2 linked regions of the Danio rerio genome follow. The protein of the gene in region 1 purifies or fractionates together with the protein of each later gene. This does not show direct contact. Links are inferred from orthologs where the notes say so. Each region holds a gene or a part of one and is shown in the gene's direction. Other genes may lie near its edges.

Region 1 (4,210 bases):
TTTCTTGAATTTATGTAAAGGAAACACTGAAAGAAACACCAAGAAACTTGACTTTACCTTCAATCATTGACTTTTCGGCTTAGTCCTTTTATTAATCAGGGGTCACCACAGCTGAATGAACCGCCAACTTATCAAGCATATATTTTACGCAGTGGATGCCCTTCCAGCTGCAACCCAACACTGGAAAACATTCATACACACTCTTTCACACTTATACACTGCAGCCAATTTAGCTTACCCAATTCCCCAATTCCTGCATGTTTGGAGTGTGGGGTAAACCGGAGCACCCACAGGAAACACACGCCAACACGGGGAGAACATGCAAACTCCACACAGAAACGCCAACTGACCCGGGACTCGAACCAACGACCTTCTTGCTGTGAGGCTACCCAATCATCATATGCTGAGATTCAAATGAACCTTGAAATATTGTTTGATTGTACTCAACTGAGTGTTAGCTAAAACGTTAAATAAAAGTGGTAATTATGACGCTTGAATATACAGTATACACCATATAATTACCACATTTGTATTTCAAGCTAATTAAATTGCACTGCAAAGTGTTTTAAAGCACACAGTTGAATTTAAAAACGTGAAATAAATATAAAACAGTGCTTTAGTTCAGCTAAAGTAATACAAATGTGCTTAAAGGGGCCTTAAAATATATAATATTATAATATATATTAAATTATTTTAGAACAAACATATATTAACCCAATATTTGACTATAATGTGGTGAAAATAACTGTTAGTTACGCTATTACACGACAATAAATATGAATAAAACAACTTAATGCTATAACTAATGTCTGTATTTACAAAAATCCTCAGTAAGAAAATAAATAGCAACTTTTAAGTCGTTTACAGTTGTTATTTGCCAGTAATGAACTGTAACAAGCGAAGTTTGTACACAGTAAAGTAAAAACTCACCTCAGTAATGACTCCTTTCAGTGATTGAAGACGAACTGGCGTGTTTAATTAGGTAAATTTAACCATACAGGAAAGGGTTAATGCGCCACTTCAGACGAAAGCAATAAATTGTCGATACATTCGACAAAATTGTATATAGCAAATCAAATTAAAGTAAACGATACCATATAATACAGACTAACATTAACTTAAACGCTTTATTATGCGATTATACTTCAAACATAAGTAATAAATCTGAAATTATTGTCAGTGGATGTGTGTTGTGCGACTCGTCGAGTCTTGCACATGTTGCTAGAGCGCATGCGCAGAGTTCATGCGGACTGCTATTTATTTTAGCAGCTCGTGCTACGCACAGTAATGCTGCCAGTGTGGAAGACATAACTGTCAGAAAAGCTCGCTTTATCTCTCTTCATTCACTTAAAAACGTGTAGTGTTAGTTCTGATTTGAAATGGCGAACGATGGTGGAGCGAAGCTGTCTAAAAACCTCCTGCGGATGAAGGTAAATAATGTTAGCCGACTCTCCCAGTGTCGGAGGAATATGATGAGCTCGTGATTGGGATCGTACTAAAATGTCCTCGTGTTTGAGGTCGGTTTTGTTTTGATATGAACTGAATGCTGTAGATCACTCGCTGCAGAACACGTGACTGATAGACAACAGTCTGTCTCTGTGTGTGTCTGTTCATCTGTGTCTCTGTCCATTATTTTATCCGCCATATTGTATATCCCATTCGTTCTGTCCATTTTTTTCATCCCTCTGTCTTTATACTTGTCTGTCTTACCATCTGCCTTGTTGTCTTACTTTTCATGTTTGTTTACCTCGTCCTTTGGTCTTTCAATAAATCTCTATTTCCATCTTATTTTTTTTATCTGTCTCTCTTTCTGTCCATCTTTTCTTCCATCTGTCTTGTCATTTGGTCTGTTCTTGTCTTTCTGTCTGCCCATCATTTTTATCTACCTCCATGTGTCATTTTATGTCAACGTCTTTCTTCTGTTTATCTGTCTGTCTATCTTTTAATCTGTTTTTCATCTGTCTGATAATCTGTTTTTGTCTGCGTCCATCTGCTTGTCATTTGGTGTCTGCATCTTTTTTCCATCTGTCTGTCCATCTTCTCATCTGTCTGTCTGTAGTTCATGCAGAGAGGATTGGATGCGGAGGTGAAGAAGCAGCTGGATGAGGAGGAGAAGCGGATCATCAGTGATGAACACTGGTTTCTGGATCTGCCCGAGCTCAAGGCCAAAGAGTGAGACTTCAACAACTGTTTTTTTTACTCTTATCACGGTGCTTGTACACCCAATGAATGAAATAGTGTATGACAACAAATATCTGTGGAAACCCATTTCTGGTGCATAAAAAAGCCTCAATCAAAAACATCAAACCAATACCTAATTATACTAATACTCAATTAAAGGGGCAGTTCACACTGAAATTAAAATTGTCATCATTTACTGCACTTTGATTTATTCCAAATCAAAACAATTTATATTTCTTTCAGCACAAAATAAGATATTTAGAATAAAGCTGAAAACCTGTAACCAGGAAAAACAAATACTATGAAAGTCAATAGTTACCAGTTTGCAACACGCTTTAAAACATTTTCTTTAGTGCAGTTAAAAATTATTTAATCCCAAAGGTTTAGAATATTGACCAAAAGCAAGCAAACAAATAAATAAAATTCAGACATTTCCAATATGTTATATCTAGATCAATGGATCCAAAACCACCAGTAGGTGGCGACAAATACCTGACTGATTCAATAGTGTTTCTTCCCATACTGATAAACTTCCGGTGAACAGTTAATGTGACTTATTTCTAAGGGTGTCACGATCCTAAAGATTCTAAAGGCACGATTCGATTTTCGATTATGAATGATTAATTAATGACCAATTAATTATTTGTAGCCTACCGTTTAAACTACCTGACCTGCATGGTCTTTGTTTTACCCATAAACAAATCATACAGTAAATGAATAAAGGCAAGATGCACACATAATTACCTCCTGTCAATCACTTTTTCTGCGGGACTCGTGAATAGGCAGTGATCTGTGTCATTATAATGGCGTCTGTAAAAAAGACGCACAACCAACAGGAACCAGCCAACAGTGTCTGAGGTGTTCGCTAAAATGACAAAGTACAAGTGAGTGAAAGATTGAAGCAGTCCTCTGACTGCCTGGACCTGCTGTCTCGAGCGCATGGCTGTGTGTGCATCTGTGTCTGTGTGGTCACGTGATGTGCGTTTTCAGAGGTAATGAGGAAGGAGGGCTGCTCAGAAATGCTACACGCCACTGTGGATGTCAAATCGTTGTTGTTCTAAAATGCCATTTAAAAACAAAGACAGTGTAAACAGGGCCTGAGTGTGAACTTTTCGCGAGCGGATTTGCAACGGGGGCGGGCGGAGGATCGCGATGCTGGTGTTGTCTATCGGACGAACCATACGTAATACGTATATAGCAGAGCTTGCAAAACTGTGTTTTTTTTTTTTGTCGACAACACGAACGTTGTCAACATAACTCACTGGAAATCCAAAATGCTTAAACACCGGCGACTTCATTGAAAGAGGAGAGGGTTTAAGCTCTGTCGACGGGTCTCCTGCTTCTGCAGTTTAACAAGCACTTCAACAAGCCTGTTTTTTTCCCGCTTGGCAAGCCAAGCTGACGTGACATCGGGGCGTGGCAGCATCGACGATTCTATTTTGTAATTCGATAATCGAAATTGAGCATAAATTTCGATCGATTTCGATTAAGAATCGAAATCGTGACACCCCTACTTATTTCCATTCCTTTTACAGCATCTATGTTGTACTGCAAATAAAATACAATCAGTTAAATAGACCCAAGCATTTATTTAGTTGATCAAGCGCAAAACGAGATCAAAAGTTGTTTACTCGCACACGTCAGAATCAGCAGGCTAGCGCAGAAGCTCCATTTAACATACTGGGGTAAAATAAATGCTCATATTATAAAGACACGACGGGGGAAATGTAAATTAATGTAGTGTTTCTTGTACAATCTGAGACCCGCTTATATCGTATATCAATTAGGCATTGAAGATGGTTGATTTTTAAAGAAAACAGGCCTTTTTGTAACTGCATACAGTAGGACTGTGCGATAAATCGAATCACAATTTGAAATGTTGCGATTAGCTTATCACAAGAGGCTGCGATATGACATAGATTTGTATTTAATTTCCCACGCCCCGAGCAAATGCATGACTGCAGTCTGCGTGTGACAAGTCTTACAAGCCAATTAAGTGTGCACGCTTTCATCCTGCCCAATCAGAATT
Region 2 (4,146 bases), on another chromosome or scaffold:
CACACACACCATAAACACGCTGAAGACGAGCAGAACACACACTTTAACCCCAGATACTGATGATGGAGGAGTGTCTGCACTGACTCCTGCATTGCTGAAGGTGTTCATTACAGTACACCTGAATCTGAAGCACTGACTCCATCATAAACACACTGTCCAGCTGATCTCACAGCCACATCACACCCTCTACACACTGACAGGGTTATTTCTGAGACTCGGTGTGTGTCCTCAAGCTCTTATTCTCGGCGGAAACTGCGATATAAACACAGTGAGGCGACTGCTGCTGTGCTGCTTTCATTGTCCACCCTCCGACGGGCCAGACGAGGCTAAAACCCACTCAAATCTGCCTTATTGGAGACGAAGCCCAGAGGAGTTTCGGGATAAACTAAGGCGAATGATAACCGGGGGTCTGTGTTTATCTGAGAGGGAAAAATAAAGCGAAAACTGCACCTGTTTGCAGCCAGGCCGATGCCTTCTGCCTCTGTGTGCTCCGCCATAACGGAAATGCCACAAAAGTCCCCATTTCCCGCTCAGCGGTTTTCAAACTTCTGAAACATCGTGACTTTTATTTCCAGTATGAATTATTTAACTTAACTGGTAAAAAATATGCATTTTTCGGTATAGTCCAGTAACTTGGCCAACAGTTTTGGTTACCAGAACGTTCCTATTTAGTTAAAGTTATTTTAGTTATAGTTTTAGTTTAATTAGTCCCAAAAATAACCTAAATTAAAGGGGAAGATTTGTGTTAGCTGGAATGTTAGCACGTTCTCCCTCTCTTTATCCAGTTTTTGATTTATTGATTGTTTTTACGATTTAATTATATTTCGTTTTTAAAAACAATCAAAGACTAAATATTAATAAATGGGGTAGATCTCCTTAAAATAAATCCTGCCATCACTTACTCAACCGTTAACGTTACATGTCCCAAACCGGTTTAATTCCATGTCTCAGTTGAACACAAGTTATTTAAGCGTTGGAAACCAGTAACGTTAACTGTTGACTTCAATAGAATTTATTTTCTTATAATGGATGTCGATGGTTACCGGTGTCGAATGATATTAAGAATGCTTTTAGAAAAATCTTTATAATATATTTCTGTTGTGGACATAAAGGGTTGGAGAGGTTTTAATGAGTTAATTTGTATAGGATAAGAGTCCCCGTGCCGGAAGTGCTCAGACACGTGTGTTTGTGTGTGTTTTCCGCTCCTCCATCATGGACTCCTCAGTGCACACTAGTCTGCTGGAGAGGATAGGAGATGTGGTTCTTCCAGGCGATCTGCTGTTCTCCTTCAGTCCTCCTGAAGCCGGAGACGCGAACCCGAAAGCGGACAGGCTGATCTGCGGCCCGGGGCTGCGGCGGAGCGGAGCGGAGATCCGTGTGTGTAGAGCAGGAGTCCTGAAACACAAACAACCCAACATGTACTGGGTCAACTGTCAGCAGAGACGGGTCAGAACACACACACACACAACATGTGCCAGCACACACTATTGTTCAGAAAATTCACTAACACACACTACAGGGCAGAAAACACACAATAACACACGCTACTAGCCATAACACACAACCTAACACACACTACTAGCCAGAACACACAATACCACACACTACTGGGCAGAAAACACACAATAACACACACTACTAGGCAGAACACACAACCTAACACACACTACTAGCCATAACACACAACCTAACACACACTACTGGACAGAACACACAATAACACACACTACTGGGCAGAAAACACACAATAACACACACTACTAGGCAGAACACACAACCTAACACACACTACTAGCCATAACACACAACCTAACACACACTACTGGACAGAACACACAATAACACACACTACTGGGCAGAAAACACTCAATAACACACAATACTGGGCAGAAAACACTCAATAACACACACTACTGGGCAGAACACACAGTAACACACACTACTGGGCAGAACACACAGTAACACACACTACTGGGCAGAAAACACACAATAACACACGCTACTAGGCAGAACACACAACCTAACACACACTACTGGGCAGAACACACAATAACACACACTACTGGGCAGAAAACACTCAATAACACACACTACTGGGCAGAAAACACACATTACTGGGCAGAAAACACTCAATAACACACACTACTGGGCAGAAAACACACATTACTGGGCAGAAAACACACAATAACACACAATACTGGGCAGAACACACACATTACTGGGCAGAAAACACACGTTAACACAATACTGGGCAGAAAACACACTCTAACACACACTACTGGGCAGAAAACAAACAATAACACACACTACTGGGCAGAAAACACAACCTAGAACACACTACTAGGCAAAACACGCAATCACACACACTACTGGAAAAAAAAAAACACACCACTAGGCAGAAAACCCAACCTAACACACACACTACTAGGCAGAAAACACACAATAACACACACTACTGCCAAATTGGTTGACATCGCCCAACCCTACTAAATAAATATATATATATATGAGTGAGAGAGAGAGAGAGAGAGAGAGAGAGAGAGATAGAGAGCTGTATACTACGTTTGGTCTATATAAATCATTTATTTTAGTCATCTTAAAGGGTCAGTTCACTCAAGAATGAATATTTACTCCCTTTCTCAGCGTATTTTTAAACCTTTACATGTTTCTTTTTTTGTCAAACACAAGAGAAGATACTTTGAAGAATGCAGAAAACCGGTAACCATTGACTTCCATAGTAGGAAAAACAAATGGAAGACAATGGCTCCAGGTTTCCAGCATTTTTCTAAATATCTTATTAGTGTTCTGAACGGGTCTGGAACAAGTAAAGGGTGAATAAATGACAGAGTGTTCATGTTTGGGTGAACTGGCCCTTTTTAACACTGCACAGGTCAGGATGTGTCGTGGTGCTCCTCTATCTGTGCTGAAGGTGTTCCGGACTGACCTCTGCTCTTTCCTGCAGTATGTTCCAGCTAAGGGTGAGAGTGTGATCGGCATCGTGACCGCAAAGTCTGGAGACGTCTTCAAAGTGGACGTTGGAGGAAGTGAGCAGGCGTCTCTGTCCTACCTGGCCTTTGAAGGAGCCACCAAGAGGAACAGACCCAACGTGCAGGTACATGATGACAGAGCCACTCCAGCAGCAACAACTCATGATCAACAGTGAAATGACAGATCGACCCACAGGGAAGCAGCAGCAGTCAGTAATGCAGGATGATCTGCTGTCAGGGCTTCACCGTCAATAACTGTGATTATAATGGAAGTGAATGGAGCAACAACAGACAACATAACCAAGCAGAGTCAGTGTGAACACACACACACACACACACACACACACACACACACACACAGTGTGAACAGTGTGTTGATGAGTTATGAAAACTCTCACAGCATTTCCCCATAATGTGTGTCAGACTCAGATTATTCAGCAGAAATCATCACATTTACTGAAACACAGAGAAAGAGGACAAATGAAGACTCGACATCAACCCAGAGTGGAGGAAAACAACCCAGCAAAGTCGTGTTCGGTGTGTATGAGTCCTCCTAACGCTGCTGTTTGCTCCTCCAGGTTGGAGATCTGGTGTTCGGGCAGTTCACCATCGCCAACAAGGACATGGAGCCGGAGCTGGTGTGTATCGACAGCTGCGGGAGAGCCAACGGGATGGGTGTGTTCGGAGGCGACGGGCTGCTCTTTAAAGTGTCGCTGGGACTCGTGCGCAGGTCTGACCTACAGCTACACACACACACACACACACACACACACACACACACACACACACACACACTCAACAGCACAGGCAGCAGGGAAAATAAGAGTTATAGAAACACACTTGTGAAGCGGACGAGTGTTTAAACACAGTGTCTGGTGTATTAGGACAGGTCAAGCCAGCACACACTACTGATCAGAAAACACACACTAACACACACTACTGATCAGAAAACACACACTACTGATCAGAAAACACACACTACTGATCAGAAAACACACACTAACACACACTACTGATCAGAAAACACACACTAACACACACTACTGATCAGAAAACACACACTAACACACACTACTGATCAGAAAACACACTATAACACACACTACTGATCAGAAAACACACACTAACACACACTACTGATCAGAAAACACACACTACT

Evidence for each region.
Region 2: the proteins of mphosph6 (region 1) and exosc3 purify together in Homo sapiens (affinity purification with mass spectrometry; 6 studies listed by BioGRID and IntAct, counting the BioPlex papers as one, with this or other methods). This does not show direct contact. The link is inferred for Danio rerio from reciprocal best matches to the Homo sapiens genes MPHOSPH6 and EXOSC3.

Annotation. Positions count from the first base shown.
Region 1 is NC_133200.1:38,541,669-38,545,878, reverse strand, and holds the start of mphosph6 (M-phase phosphoprotein 6), read left to right. Parts: upstream 1-1,286; 5' UTR 1,287-1,379; coding exon 1,380-1,430; intron 1,431-2,059; coding exon 2,060-2,172; exon of another isoform or gene 2,173-3,410; intron 3,411-4,210. UniProt on the Homo sapiens protein: RNA-binding protein that associates with the RNA exosome complex. Involved in the 3'-processing of the 7S pre-RNA to the mature 5.8S rRNA and play a role in recruiting the RNA exosome complex to pre-rRNA; this function may include C1D.
Region 2 is NC_133189.1:58,545,014-58,549,159, reverse strand, and holds the start of exosc3 (exosome complex component RRP40), read left to right. Parts: upstream 1-1,201; 5' UTR 1,202-1,212; coding exon of another isoform or gene 1,213-1,446; 5' UTR 1,447-1,958; intron 1,959-2,153; 5' UTR 2,154-2,839; coding exon 2,840-3,112; intron 3,113-3,565; coding exon 3,566-3,717; intron 3,718-4,146. Other genes in the region: tcerg1a (transcription elongation regulator 1a), read right to left, coding at 451-497. UniProt on the Homo sapiens protein: Non-catalytic component of the RNA exosome complex which has 3'->5' exoribonuclease activity and participates in a multitude of cellular RNA processing and degradation events.